Linked DNA regions of Schizosaccharomyces pombe. The protein of the gene in region 3 interacts with the protein of the main gene of each other region in a biochemical or structural test. Each region holds a gene or a part of one and is shown on either strand. Other genes may lie near its edges. The genes, in order: sti1, aha1 and hsp90.

Region 1 (4,586 bases), on a different chromosome or scaffold from region 3:
TGAGAACAATCCACAAATAAGGGCAAATCCGTCGCTAGCAATTAACCCTCAATTTATGCAGAATGCCATTTCGGCGGCTCAGAAAAAGGCGTCCAAACAATAATTTTTGTAAATTTCTTTTTTAATGGAGGTTATTAACAAGCACCGTTCTTGCATAACTCCTCCTTTTTGGATCATCAAAAATGGCATATATGTCTCTTTTTGGTATATATTAAAATAGGAAAACTGTAGTTTAAAGAATCAATTAACCCGGTCCTTAAAAGTTTTCATTATAATATCATTTTTGGGAGATGGTCCTAGTTAACCTTATCCTAGAATCTTTGAGACACATTGACGAGTTTTTTATTAACGGTATATTTTGTGAAGCATGGCTTCTTTGACTTACATATCTATCTAATATTACTGCTTGATATGCATAATCTATTTTCATAACATTTTAGTTATGGATAATTAAGGTCAACCTAATGATATTTATTTATTTTTTTTTTACACTCTTAATTGAGTTTGTTAGTTAGCACAATGTAAAGCGATTCACATCTGGACTTAAAATTTTGATTTGATATTATAATACTTTTCATATCCACCCTAAAATTTGGAGAATAAAAGGTTAAAGCATTTAGTAACTACCTATCGTGATATGATTATAATTTTAAATTCAACATGAATTAGTGCTTATGTTTATTAAATGATCAAACTATTAATCGACTAACTCATCAATACCCTAAAAATTTGGAGGATAAATAACACCCAACTTCTTCGTTTAGTGAAATATTTAACAAAAAAGCAGTTATCCAATTCATCCGGTTGTATTAAAGTAAGGGATTACTCTTTAACAAACAACATTCATAAACTAAGTAAACGTTAAAACCTTTCTTTTTTTTAAATCTCACTTCTCACAAAAGCGCAAATTTAGCCCAGGCGAATAACACCGCTGGCAATCAGCTTCTCAATTTTGCTTTTAACGGTTGGGTTCTTCATGTGTTCCATCAAAGCAGCAGGATTCTCACGAGCTTGTCCAAGGATAGCTTGCATAGCAGGGTCTTGTAAGATTCCTAGAACTTCAGGATCTTTTTGAATTCGAGCCATCGTCTCCTCCTCAGTTTCATTTTGTCTCTGACTAGCCATTGCGCTCATACACTTGGACAATTGAGACTCGATTTCACGAAGGTTCTTACCGGTATTGGGCTCACGACGGTCAACTTCAGAAGCTTCATTGCATGCATCAATACATTTATTGTAATCTTTCAACATAAAAAGAGCTTGAGCTTTGCGAACATACGCTTTTGCAAAGTTGGGATCTAACTCGATTGCCTTGTTGCAATCACGAATGCACTCTGCGGGAGCCATCACCTTCAGATAGGCAGCAGCACGGTTACCAAAGCCACGAGGATCAGAAGGAGCACGCTTGGTCATTTCTGTATACTCCTTAATGGCATTGGCAAAGTCGCCAGATTTAAAAAGCTCATTACCTTTGACACGAGACTCCTCGGCTTTGTCAGGGTCAATGTAAGCTTCACGATCCTGAAGTTCCTTACTCTTTTCAGCATCCTTTAGCCTAGAGAGAATGTCAGGAGTACGATGTTCGGTAAGAGAACGTTGATAGTAATCAATAGCTTTGACTAAATCACCGCGTTTCTGATACGTAGTACCCAAACGGCCAAGTGCTTTGGCAATGAGCTTAAAGTCGGCACGCAACTCACGACCTTGCTCGATTGCATCTTCACAAGTTTTAATGCAATCATCAAGTTGATCCGCTTCAAAATAAGCAGCAGCAAGGTTATTCAAATAGGTGATATCCTTGTATGTATCCCATGCCTTTTTGTATTGTTCAATAGCCACAGGAAAGTTACGCTTCTTGTAGTTTTCATTGCCAATTTGCTTTTCTTGATCGGCTTTTTTCTTAAGGGCTTCCTTTGTGGCTGCTTCCTCCAATTCCTCAGCAGTTTTGTCTTCTTCCATGGGTTCACTGGCTTGAGGCTGGGGAGGAGGATTAGTGGTTTCAGGCTTGGCAGAGTCAGCAGAAGGCGTGGAAGAAGAAGGAGCAAACTCTTCTTTCTTCTCTTGTTCCTCTGCAGCGCCCTCTCCCGCATTCATGTTGATATCAATACCCATCAACATGCCAATCACCTTCATCATCCTTGGGTCATTCAACTCGGCCATGATACTGCCAGGATTTTGTTGAATCTTTTGGAGCTTAGCCATAAAGGCCGAATCAGCAAGCAAAGAAGCCGTTTCCGGATTGCTAGCAAGCTTTTCCATGAATTTAGGATCGGAAAGTTGAGAACCTAACTTGGCGAACGGGTTGAAACCGCCGGCACCAGAAGCGGCTTGAGTTTGTGCGGCTTCTACACTTTTCAAACCATTTAGCAATTGCGCATTATTAGCATCATGCTTCAAGCCTTCCTCATATGCGCTACGTGCTGCATCAAGGTCGCCAAGTCCGTGTAAAGCAGCGCCTTTTCTTGACCAACCTTTAGCCCAGTCTGGCTTCAATTCGGTACATTTTGTGGCATCTTTCAGTGCATCGGCATAGTCCTTTTCAGAAGCATAACACGCAGAGCGGTTGGAATACAAAATGTGATTTCTTTCATCTAAACCAATTGCTTGAGTAAAGTAATCAATGGCTGTTTTATAATCCTTTTTGGAGAACGCCGCATTTCCCTTGGCTTTCAATTCTTCTGCCATTTTAATGAATTCACTGAAATCACCAGTTTTCGAGTTTCGTTTGCTTTCAAAACGATTTCCCACTAATTAAATATCAACAATATCGATTTTCCGCAACTAAGCGTCGTAACTCTTTCCGTTTACTACTTTTTCGTAGAATTTGGAATTTCGTTTGTCTTTGAAGATGTATGCTAAAGACAGGTAATTGTAAATATACCCGACACCGCTGGACACGCTTGTGTATATATATGGCCATCGTCATTCAAGCTCAGCGAAGGTTAACGAAAACTCCAGAATAACGAAGATTCTTTTGTTTAAACTTACACGCAAATTCATGATATAAAATTAGATAATTCTAAAATAGTTAATTGTATTTTTAAACTACTTTAATAACTTCAAAATTGCTTTCCCTTCTGATTTTGTAAGGATTTCGTCTTGAGGTCACAACTCTTCCATCCTCCTTGGAAGGTGACAGTTTGTTTGAATTTGTATATCTGTAAAACACTGTTATTCATGAAAAATAGTAGATGATATTATTTGTATTCTTTTTTCATTGCAGTATAACATAATTCTCTTTGTAGGATAAAAAACGATGGCTCAAGTTCTTCTACGAAGTCTTTATACTTTCTGGTGCAGGCTGCTTCATCTGAATACACAGTCAAAACGTCAGTAGAAAGTGACTTAAAAACAATACCAAGAGGAATTACTTACTCCTTTTTCCGGACTTTTCTTTTAGTCCACATTTTTATCGTTTGGCACTTTAACTCGTTTCATCTGCGTTGAGTAAACCACTATGAATATCACAAGATCCAAGTAACTAACCTAGTCAGTTCTACGATATCAAGTTCTTTGAAGAAAGCATAAAGCAAGCATTTGTTAAATAAAAATTTACCATTATTGAATAACGCTCATCCTGAGCGTTACCCAAACCGGTAGGATGAATTATGGAAACACATTTTTGACGCTTTTGCTTCTCTACTAGAGTAATACACTAACAAATAAAACCACTTTACATTTCTATTAACATCGGTTCACACTACCAAAACAAGGTAGGAAGTAACGGAGAGTAAAGAAAGATTGATATATAAGAATAGGTTAATAGTGTATAAAGAACTAAATCCCAATTAAGGAAAAATATGGTAAATAACAACGTTGCAATTTATCTCTCTTCATCAGGGATGGACTTAACTCACTGGATGAGAGACATGTCCATATTAACATTCTAAATTCAGAAAATCCTCAGCTAAAAGAAAAAAGCATTCTTCATTCACGACTCCAAAGACAGAAAATCAATATAAAAAACAACAAACGTATCAAATATAAACCACTTAATCATAAAAATCCATTAGAACGAAGTATTTCCTTCTCATTATAAAGCTGGATCCTGTTCTTCATGTAACTTTGATAGAGTATTAGGGTCAGGGAGTTGAGCGTCATGATATTCATCAACCGATCCGTTGTCACTCCGATATGTTACAAAACTTGCAGTACTCTGGGGTCGTCGCCTACGCGCAGGCGCTGGCATGTGTTCTGCAAATCCCTTTGTACTATCGCCGCTTGCATCACGTGAATGTTTATGGATGGAGCTATCTTCCGGCTTTGTGTTTTCAGAAAGAAACTTGTGAAACGCAATCCTGTCAACCTCACTGAAAATTGGGATAAACTCATCCAACGCACACAAAACTTCAAGGTCTGACTTGCCATTAGGGATGTCAAAGTTCAGAATGTACTCTTCAGGTGCAATCATTTTAAAGTATTTGGGCTTCCATTGAACATTCTCTATCTCGCGCTGTTTTGCTTCTTCTCGCTGACGATCCTCTATGGCGGATTTTGTTTCGGTAGCAGTAGTTTGGTCACGGGCTATTACTGCCTGACACGTTTTATACCACAACCTTTGAGACTCACGCTCCCCCTGCTCCTCT
Region 2 (4,250 bases), on a different chromosome or scaffold from region 3:
CCTACTCATTTTACGACTGTTTTTTTTGCGACACTTCCAGAATTATCCTACATCGGTTGGGCAATTGCCTTCTGGCTCTCTTGTTTTAAATATCTTGTTCCGGTTTACGCTGGTTACTGTATCGTTCACAACAAATCAAGTGCTGCAAACATAGTAGGAATTGTTCTCAGCATTGTCGTGACTCTTGGTACTTTAGCGTTTCTGATTGTTCGTTATAAAGCAATTAAAAATAGCACTTTAGAAGATTCTACGAACAGTACTTCAGATGTATTAAATCATTTAGAGTCACAACCAACCGATAGTATTGATCTGAGACATCTTGAGCAAACTTCAGAACAGAATGAAACTGACAACTCAGAAAGAAAACATTTGTTAAGTCATCAACACTGACACATTTGTCCCTAAAAATTCTCTTATCGTATAATTATTAAGGTACATATCACTTTCATATATTAATACGTAGAAAACGATCACAATCCTAACAATTTGATGAAATTAATTTAGATATTCTATATTTTGTTTTTAATAAACATGGGATTTACCAATGTGTAACATATTATAATTAGACATACAATCAGTGAAAATATTCACAAATCGTGGCATCAGTCAATCATGGCTGTAAAATTCATTAAATTTTAATAATTTTGAAAAAACAAGAGGACAAACTATGGTTATGCATTCTTGATAAAACCTGATTTTATCTATATTTCATTTGCCTTCAAAAAAAGCAAAACTCACAATAGAATACATTATTTGAAACATAGCCTGTATGCAGGATTTATAAAGGATTGTTAAATTTTTTTCTGAGCTAATCATCCATATGTGAAAGTCAAGATCGATTACAGAACAGCGCCAAAACCAAAAACTGTCTTAATGGGACGAATATAATAATCCTGAATATTACCTTGTACAACCTCCTCTTCGCCGATCGGAACACCCTTCATAATCATACGTAAAGTAGTATAAGAATCAGCTTGATCGAAGGTGAATGTTATTTCAGCATAGTGACCGGTGGGCCACGAACTAAGACGCCAAGTTTGCACGATTTTTTTGTTTTCTTCCAGTACAAGGAATTTTCCAACTACATTTCCATGGAACAGAGAGAAAGCGCCTTGCGGACGAACATCGAGTTGCGGAGGAGCGCGAGACCAAGCAGCTACGCGAGCAGGATCAAGGAAAGTAGCATAAAGTTCATTAGCAGGAGCATCAAAAGTATAGTTCTCAGAAATATCGGCAGTATTGACTACTGCTGATACACGAGAGCCATCAGAGCCAGATCCAGCGGCCACCGTGGTAGTACCTTTGTTAGACGAAGTCTGTGAAGAATTGTTTTGCTTAAAGCTACTATGCACGGGAAGTCCACGAGCAGCGTTACCGTTATGTTCTTCAGTGGAGAGATAAACATCGTCACCATGGGTTTGCAACAAAACTTGGGAAAATCCAGAAAAAAGCTGACGAATTTGAGGAATAATTTTCTCACGAACAAGCTCTTTAATGGGTTCTTTTTCCTTTGAAGCAGAGTAAATGTCGATGTCAAACACGTAATCAGAGTATCCTAAGTCATAAGAAAGCTCGGGGCAAGTAATGGAGCCAGTAGCTTCAACTCCATCCTTAGTTTCTCCTTTAAATTCCATTTGTATTTTCAAATCAAAAATAGTAATGACCTTTCTTTTGCGCATAGAGACATCGACATCTCCTTCACAGCTATTGACTTGGGTAATGCGAGCACTAGTGGGGCCCTCAGAAGCTTGGATCTTAGGAAGTTCCTTATTGAAGTACTCATGAGACCATACTCGACAATCCTTTGAAGTCCAATGCCTAAAATTGAGTTAGCGAATCAATCGTTTTATTTGGACATATCCATCGTTTCGTAAATATTCCAAACCTTTGACGATGAACTACTATTCCATATTCAGAAACCAACGCATTGAATAACTACCGACTCAATAAAGAAAAAACTTTCATAATAGGATCAACCCAATCTTGACATCATGATTTGGCTAGCAACAATGTAAAATGGTGAAACCCAATTTCGCTCGTTTATACGAATTCATTCAATAGAATATTATTGTGTTCAACCCAATCAAAAATGTCATTGAAATTGAATAAGGGATAATACGATGGAAATGAATAAAAACATAGTTACATGACTTAAGTTTGGAAATTTTTTTATCCCAACACTACTGTACATACCAGTTATTGGGGTTTATAGATGTGGCCGACATTCCTACTCAATATAAGCTAACAAATGAATTTCGTTCAAATTCTAAAGCAAACAAGGTGTTGCGTCCAATTTCAATCTCATGCTCGTTTCAACCTCCTTCTATATATATACCCCCACCTACACCACCCCCATCGAAGTCTCAGGAATCTTCGAGAGAAGGAAAAGACGAGTATCTAAGAGGACATGCAGTATGCTAAGCTCCGCTAGAAACTGTTGTGCTAACAATGAATGTGCTCTACTATCAATATATACCGCATGAGGTATAGATGGAAGACTAATGGTCTCAGTGGTAAATGCATGTTATTGTATAATAACATCTATTTGCAAATTAATCAACTGCATAATCATGCGGATAGTAATTTAAATTGTTAAACTAATAATGTGTATTTAGTGAAAAACCTCCGTTGGGAAAATTCTGCATCTTTCCATGCTGAAAAGGAAAGAAGATCCACTTCAAGACAGATATGAAGTTACATTTAACTTGAAAACTCTTTGTGTATCATATTGAATTCTATTTTTCAAATTAATAAAAATAAATAGTTTGCCTTCTCAGTTGGAAAGCAGTCGTTAAGCATATGATACAGTTTTCATAAATACACAAGCGTTCAGACTTATAACAATAACGCTTGAAATTAGCAAACATAGAGCGTAATTTGCTTTTAAAAGTAGATTCTACTTTCCAATTAAGATAATTATTATAATCTATCAAAAAAAACTTTTTATATCACCAAAACCGAACCAACCAAAATATGATAACATTTCACCACTCTCAAATGAAAAAAGAACGAGTGATTTAGCAAGAACTACTTGAACCAAACCCTTGCATTGAACAATATATACCGCATGAGGTATAGATGGAAGACTAATGGTCTCAGTGGTAAATGCATGTTATTGTATAATAACATCTATTTGCAAATTAATCAACTGCATAATCATGCGGATAGTAATTTAAATTGTTAAACTAATAATGTGTATTTAGTGAAAAACCTCCGTTGGGAAAATTCTGCATCTTTCCATGCTGAAAAGGAAAGAAGATCCACTTCAAGACAGATATGAAGTTACATTTAACTTGAAAACTCTTTGTGTATCATATTGAATTCTATTTTTCAAATTAATAAAAATAAATAGTTTGCCTTCTCAGTTGGAAAGCAGTCGTTAAGCATATGATACAGTTTTCATAAATACACAAGCGTTCAGACTTATAACAATAACGCTTGAAATTAGCAAACATAGAGCGTAATTTGCTTTTAAAAGTAGATTCTACTTTCCAATTAAGATAATTATTATAATCTATCAAAAAAAACTTTTTATATCACCAAAACCGAACCAACCAAAATATGATAACATTTCACCACTCTCAAATGAAAAAAGAACGAGTGATTTAGCAAGAACTACTTGACCAAACCCTTGCATTGAAAAATTAGGCACTAAAAAGTGATAGTTTTAAACACATTTATACCAGTCATAGCAGTGGAGACAATCGTTCCAGGTATTTGCCTATGCCAATGCATTTCCTTGATTTCTTGTTGACCCATGTGTATAAACATTAACTGAGGAGGAACGTCCTGCAACCCCTCTGCTGCACGACTGTCTTGTTCTTCTTCATCAAGCTCCACCGATAAATCCCATAATGAAATTTGATTATCCGCACCAACGACACCAATAACGGAATCTTCGTTAGGATGCCATTCAATACTGTATATAGGAGCACGGTGCCATTTGAAAGAAGCAACAGGAGTTGCAACTGAGGATGAACTTTTCAGAGAACGAAGGTCCCACACGCTCCAAACACCATTATCAGCACCAGTTGCCAATAAATTAGGTACACGTGTATTCCAACTTAACACATTAACGTCGACACCAGGATGAGCATTGACGGTAAGAGCTGACGTCTTTTGTTTATTTCGGACATCCCAGATGCGAAAAGTGCCATCGCAACTGCAACTGGAAAATACGTTCTTTTCACTAGGAGACCATTGTAGATCTTCGACAGCAGCAGTATGGCTTAGAAAAGGAGAAGAGTCAG
Region 3 (4,926 bases):
ATGATCTACTAGAAGCGTTCTCTACATTCGATGATACTCAATCCGGCAAAATTCCAATTTCCACTATGAGAGATGCTTTGTCAAGTATGGGTGATAGAATGGATCCTCAAGAAGTCGAGTCTATTTTACGCTCGTACACCAGTCATGGTGTATTCTATTACGAGAAATTCGTTGATGCTATTGCTGGGTCAAAAGATAGCAATTGAGTTAAGAGCAGCCAGATATGTTTCACATTCTTCCCTCTAATACTTTATCTTTTTAACCTGAGCCATTTCCCTTAGACGAATTTTCCTCTTCTCTTTTAACTTTTTATGAAAGCATTTGATACATTTATGTTCGTTGTGACCTATACTTTATGTGTCTCAATACTTAGCTACTCTCTGCGACTTTACTATTATTTGCAGTGTTTAGTGAGTTAGAGCTTAGGCTTAATGTCATTAACCATATTTTCATTCGAGGGTTCAATTAATGTATGAATAAATCTATATTAGCCCAGCATACCTATGTTCCTCATCAAAATTATCCTACCTTGTAAAACAGCTCTCACATGACTAGAAAAAAATAACTTTTAAGCACCAACTTGTACTTGTTAGTAGTATAAACTACATTATTCGAAAACAAAATTTGATGTACTAATAAGTATCCATAAACTTTAATATTACTAATCAACATTCCATATTATAACAACTTCCAAACAACCTGTAATCTAGTGTGTATTAAGAAAAATCGTGTAGAAAGAAATTTTTGAATGACAACAGACACTAGAATCGTTAACAATGTATAGGATAACTTGCTTTAATCCAAGAAAAACATTATATGCATAAATTTTGGAAAGACACATTAGATGCATTTGATTTAATCGACTTCCTCCATCTTGCTCTCAGCATTGTTTTCAGCAGCGACGGATTCGGTAGAAATTTCCTCAATAGGAGCCTCCTCCTCTTCGTCAATGCTAAGACCAAGAGAAATAAGACGGTTGATACGTTGAGCATAAGCACTAGGGTCATCAAGAGTGAAACCAGAGGACAACAAGGCGGTCTCATACAAAATAGTAGCAAGATCCTTCACAGAGCGGTCTTCGGCACCATTCTCCTCAACCTTCTTCTTGAGCTCAGCAATGATGGGAGACTTGGGGTTAATCTCAAAAGTCTTGCGGCTAGACATATAGGCACTCATAGAAGTATCACGAAGGGCTTGAGCCTTCATGATACGTTCCATGTTAGCAGACCAACCATATTGACCGGTAGTTAACAAGCAAGGAGAACCAACAATCTTGTTAGAAACAACAACCTTTTCAACCTTGTCACCCAAAATGGTCTTAAGTTGCTTAGCAAACTCCTCATACTCTTTTTCGAGCTTCTCGCGAGCAGCCTTCTCCTCGTCAGTCTCTTCCAACTCAAGACCATCCTTAGTAATGTTAACCAATTTCTTGCCCTCGAATTCCTTGAGTTGAGTGACAGCGTACTCATCAATGGGGTCAACCATGAAGAGAACATCAAACTTCTTGGCACGGAAGATTTCCAAGAAGGGAGAGTTCTCAACGGCTTGCTTAGATTCACCAGTGATGAAATAAATGTTCTTTTGATGTTCGGGCATCTTAGTGATGTAGTCCTCAAGACTGATAAGATCATCAGGGGAGTTAAGGGAGTTGTAACGCAAAAGCTTGGCTAAAGCAGGGCGGTTAGCAGCATCCTCATGGATACCAAGCTTCAAATTCTTGCTGAAAGCATCGTAGAAAGTCTTGAAGTTCTCCTTGTCCTCGGCAATCTCGTTGAACATATCAAGACAACGACGGACAAGGTTCTTACGAATAACCTTCATGATCTTGTTTTGTTGAAGCATCTCACGAGACAAGTTCAAGGGCAAGTCCTCAGAATCAACAACACCCTTAATGAAACCCAACCATTCAGGAATCAACTCTTCACAGTCGTCGGTAATGAAAACACGGCGAACATAGAGCTTGATGTTGTTCTTCTTACGCTTGGCCTCAAAAAGGTCCATAGGAGCGCGGCGGGGGACGAAAAGAATGGCACGGAATTCCAATTGACCTTCAACGCTGAAGTGCTTGACGGCCAAATGGTCTTCCCAGTCGTTAGTCAAAGACTTGTAGAAAGAGGCATACTCTTCCTTGGTAACTTCACTGGGGTTGCGAGTCCAAATGGGCTTGGTCTTGTTCAACTCCTCAGTCTCAGTGGTGGTCTCCTTGACCTTCTTGGTCTTCTTCTCCTTCTTCTCAGATTCATCATCAACCTCCTCAATCTTAGGAGCCTTATCGTCTTCTTCATTCTTAACTTCTTCGGTCTCTTCTTCTTCAGGGACCTCCTTCTCAACCTCACGGGTAACAACTAATTGAATGGGGTAAGAGATGAACTCACTATGTTTCTTGACGGTATCTTTGATAGTCTTTTCCTCGAGGTATTGAAGTTGGTCTTCTTTCATGAAGAGACGAATCTCGGTACCACGTAACAAGCGAGGTCCATCGGTGTCCAAAGTGACGGTGAAGCTACCACCAGCAGAGGATTCCCAGATGTATTGCTCATCGTCATTATGCTTACTTACGACTTGGACCTTGTCGGCAACCAAGTATGCAGAGTAGAAACCAACACCGAATTGACCAATCATGGAGATATCAGCACCAGAAGCAGCAGCTTCCATAAACTGCTTAGTACCAGACTTGGCGATAACACCAAGGTTGTTGATAAGGTCATTCTTGGTCATACCAATACCGGTATCGCGAATGCTAAGGATTTTGTTCTCCTTGTCAGGAGTAATGCGAATGAAAAGATCCTTCTCAGCGTCTAAGGCATGAGGATCGGAAAGGCTTTGATAACGAATTTTGTCCAAGGCATCGGAAGCGTTGGAAATAAGCTCACGAAGGAAAATTTCCTTGTTAGAATAAACAGTGTTGATGATTAAAGACATCAACTGGCTGATTTCAGCCTCAAACTTGAAAGTTTCTGTGTTCGACATTTTGTAATGAAATCAAATTGAAAACGAAAACAAAGAAAAATGAAGGAATTTATAGATAAAACCGGTTAAGTCGTACAGTTCGTAATATAAAGGGTAAAATAAGTAATTAAATATACTTTTATTACTTGAAAAGGGGTTTTCTTCTCAGCTATAACGTGATTTTAAATATGTTCAAACGTATGAACAATCTTTTAAGCGTTCAACAAAGGAACTTAGTGGGAAATGGGTTATAAATAACTTGAGAGCTAGATGGCGGAGGGTACGTGTATGGTGGTTTATATTCTGTAAACAAAGCAACTCGAACATTCCAAAACCCTAACCCTGGTTTTTGGTGGAAGGACATGGAACTCAAAGAATAGTGCGGATGCAACGAAGTGTGGTATTTGGATTGCGATAGAAGGTTGGGGTGAGAAAAAAAATTTCTCACTAAAGTGTATCTAGAAGATGCTAGAGGGAAGATAGTGTATTGCGTAAAATTACGAACAACCAATATTCGGAAACATCCTTACACTGTGATAAGCTCATAAGGTTTTACTGTAGCGAAAGGTTTTTTCGTTAAGCATCGTTGAAGGGTGATAAAATCGGCATCTCGCTAACGTTCACTGTTCATAACCGACCGTTTTTAGGTTAGCTAAACGAGATCGATCATTTAAAGTGTTTAACTGTATCTTATCTAGATGATGGGAACTTCATAAATTCCAAGTGAGTGATATTTCTTCAAATTTCTTTTGCACGCAATTAGAATACATATTAAAAATAATGTTCCGAAAAAGAGGCCTACAGCACCCCGGATTCCCATGTTGTCTCCAACCATAGTACTAACGAGGCCCTCAGACGCTTAACTGCAGTGATCGGACGGGAACTGGTGTTTTCGCCTAGGTATGGCCGTAGACATTTGTTACATAAATTTATAGAATATATAATAAAGAACAGAATATGTAATATTTCTCAAAATCGAACAGAATTTAGCAAATACCATTTCATAAACTTGTACTGTATTTGTTTACATCGTTAAACACCCAATCCTTCGCATTTGCATAAAACTTACTTGACAAGACGAAACGCATCCGATACTACTTCGGTATGTGCGTCGCTTGCATAAATTTCGCTACAGCCATGTCACCTATCGAATACAAATTATTATTGAAACATTCCAGCAGTTTTTACAGTACTCAAATTTTAGTAAAAAGGCTATTAATAATATCTCAGCAATAAATTCTTTGTATATAAATAAATCAAAAGTGATTCTCCGCCATAAATTTTCAAAGGTAATTAACCGTTCATTTAAGGACTCTTTTGAAACTTCCAAATTATTTACAGCTGCAATTAGTCTATATTATTATACAATCCTTAGCAAGAGAGACTAGCCTTGCCTTCTCTCAACAAATACTTGGCCTCCCTTTAAAAGATATCATGAGTCGGATTCCGCGATTTCATAATCTACTTGTATAGTTAGAGAGCAACCCATGCATGGGACGACACTTCTGTTATTTTCCAGGTCGTCTTCCGTGACAACATATCCTCCTAAATCGCCGCATCGGCAAGGATAATAATAGGAGCCGTTGTCGAGTTCTTCAAATTCACTTAGATCAACGATAGAGTAGTAATGCGAGCTTTCTGTTTAGATTAATAAAAAAACCTTCAAAACAAAATTACCCTCTTCTTGTTTTATTTGATATTGCTGACGATCTTTTTCACTTGAAAGGACTTGATATGCTTCTTTCACTTGATCAATAGTATACACCACAGAGGGCTTTTCTTTACACTTATCCGGGTGAAACAGTAGTAACGCTTTTCTATAAGCTTCTTTTATTTCATCGTCTGTGTAAGTTTTTCCATCTTTGAGGTTTAGAACCGAATAGTGGTTCATGAGGATACAGCACACTTATGTCGTTCTGCTGGTATATGCATATACATAGTTAGGGTGCCCAATTGATTTGTCATTACTTTGATGTA

What was found.
Region 1: the proteins of hsp90 (region 3) and sti1 form a complex in vitro, tested with the Schizosaccharomyces pombe proteins (one study listed by BioGRID).
Region 2: the proteins of hsp90 (region 3) and aha1 form a complex in vitro, tested with the Schizosaccharomyces pombe proteins (one study listed by BioGRID).

What each region holds. Positions count from the first base shown.
Region 1 is NC_003421.2:1,260,697-1,265,282, forward strand, and holds sti1 (chaperone activator Sti1), read right to left. Parts: upstream 2,880-4,586; 5' UTR 2,686-2,879; coding exon 910-2,685; 3' UTR 642-909; downstream 1-641. Other genes in the region: bye1 (transcription elongation regulator), read left to right, coding at 1-103; osh6 (oxysterol binding protein), read right to left, coding at 4,034-4,586. UniProt on the Schizosaccharomyces pombe protein: May play a role in mediating the heat shock response of some HSP70 genes.
Region 2 is NC_003423.3:2,147,100-2,151,349, reverse strand, and holds aha1 (chaperone activator Aha1), read right to left. Parts: upstream 2,298-4,250; 5' UTR 2,226-2,297; coding exon 2,194-2,225; intron 1,819-2,193; coding exon 840-1,818; 3' UTR 549-839; downstream 1-548. Other genes in the region: SPOM_SPBC1711.09C (SNARE-associated protein), read left to right, coding at 1-390; WD repeat-containing protein Rrb1, read right to left, coding at 3,652-4,250.
Region 3 is NC_003424.3:3,887,919-3,892,844, forward strand, and holds hsp90 (Hsp90 chaperone), read right to left. Parts: upstream 3,222-4,926; 5' UTR 2,971-3,221; coding exon 856-2,970; 3' UTR 640-855; downstream 1-639. Other genes in the region: myosin II regulatory light chain Rlc1, read left to right, coding at 1-206; diphthamide biosynthesis protein Dph4, read right to left, coding at 4,382-4,587, 4,627-4,840. UniProt on the Schizosaccharomyces pombe protein: Molecular chaperone that promotes the maturation, structural maintenance and proper regulation of specific target proteins involved for instance in cell cycle control and signal transduction. Undergoes a functional cycle that is linked to its ATPase activity.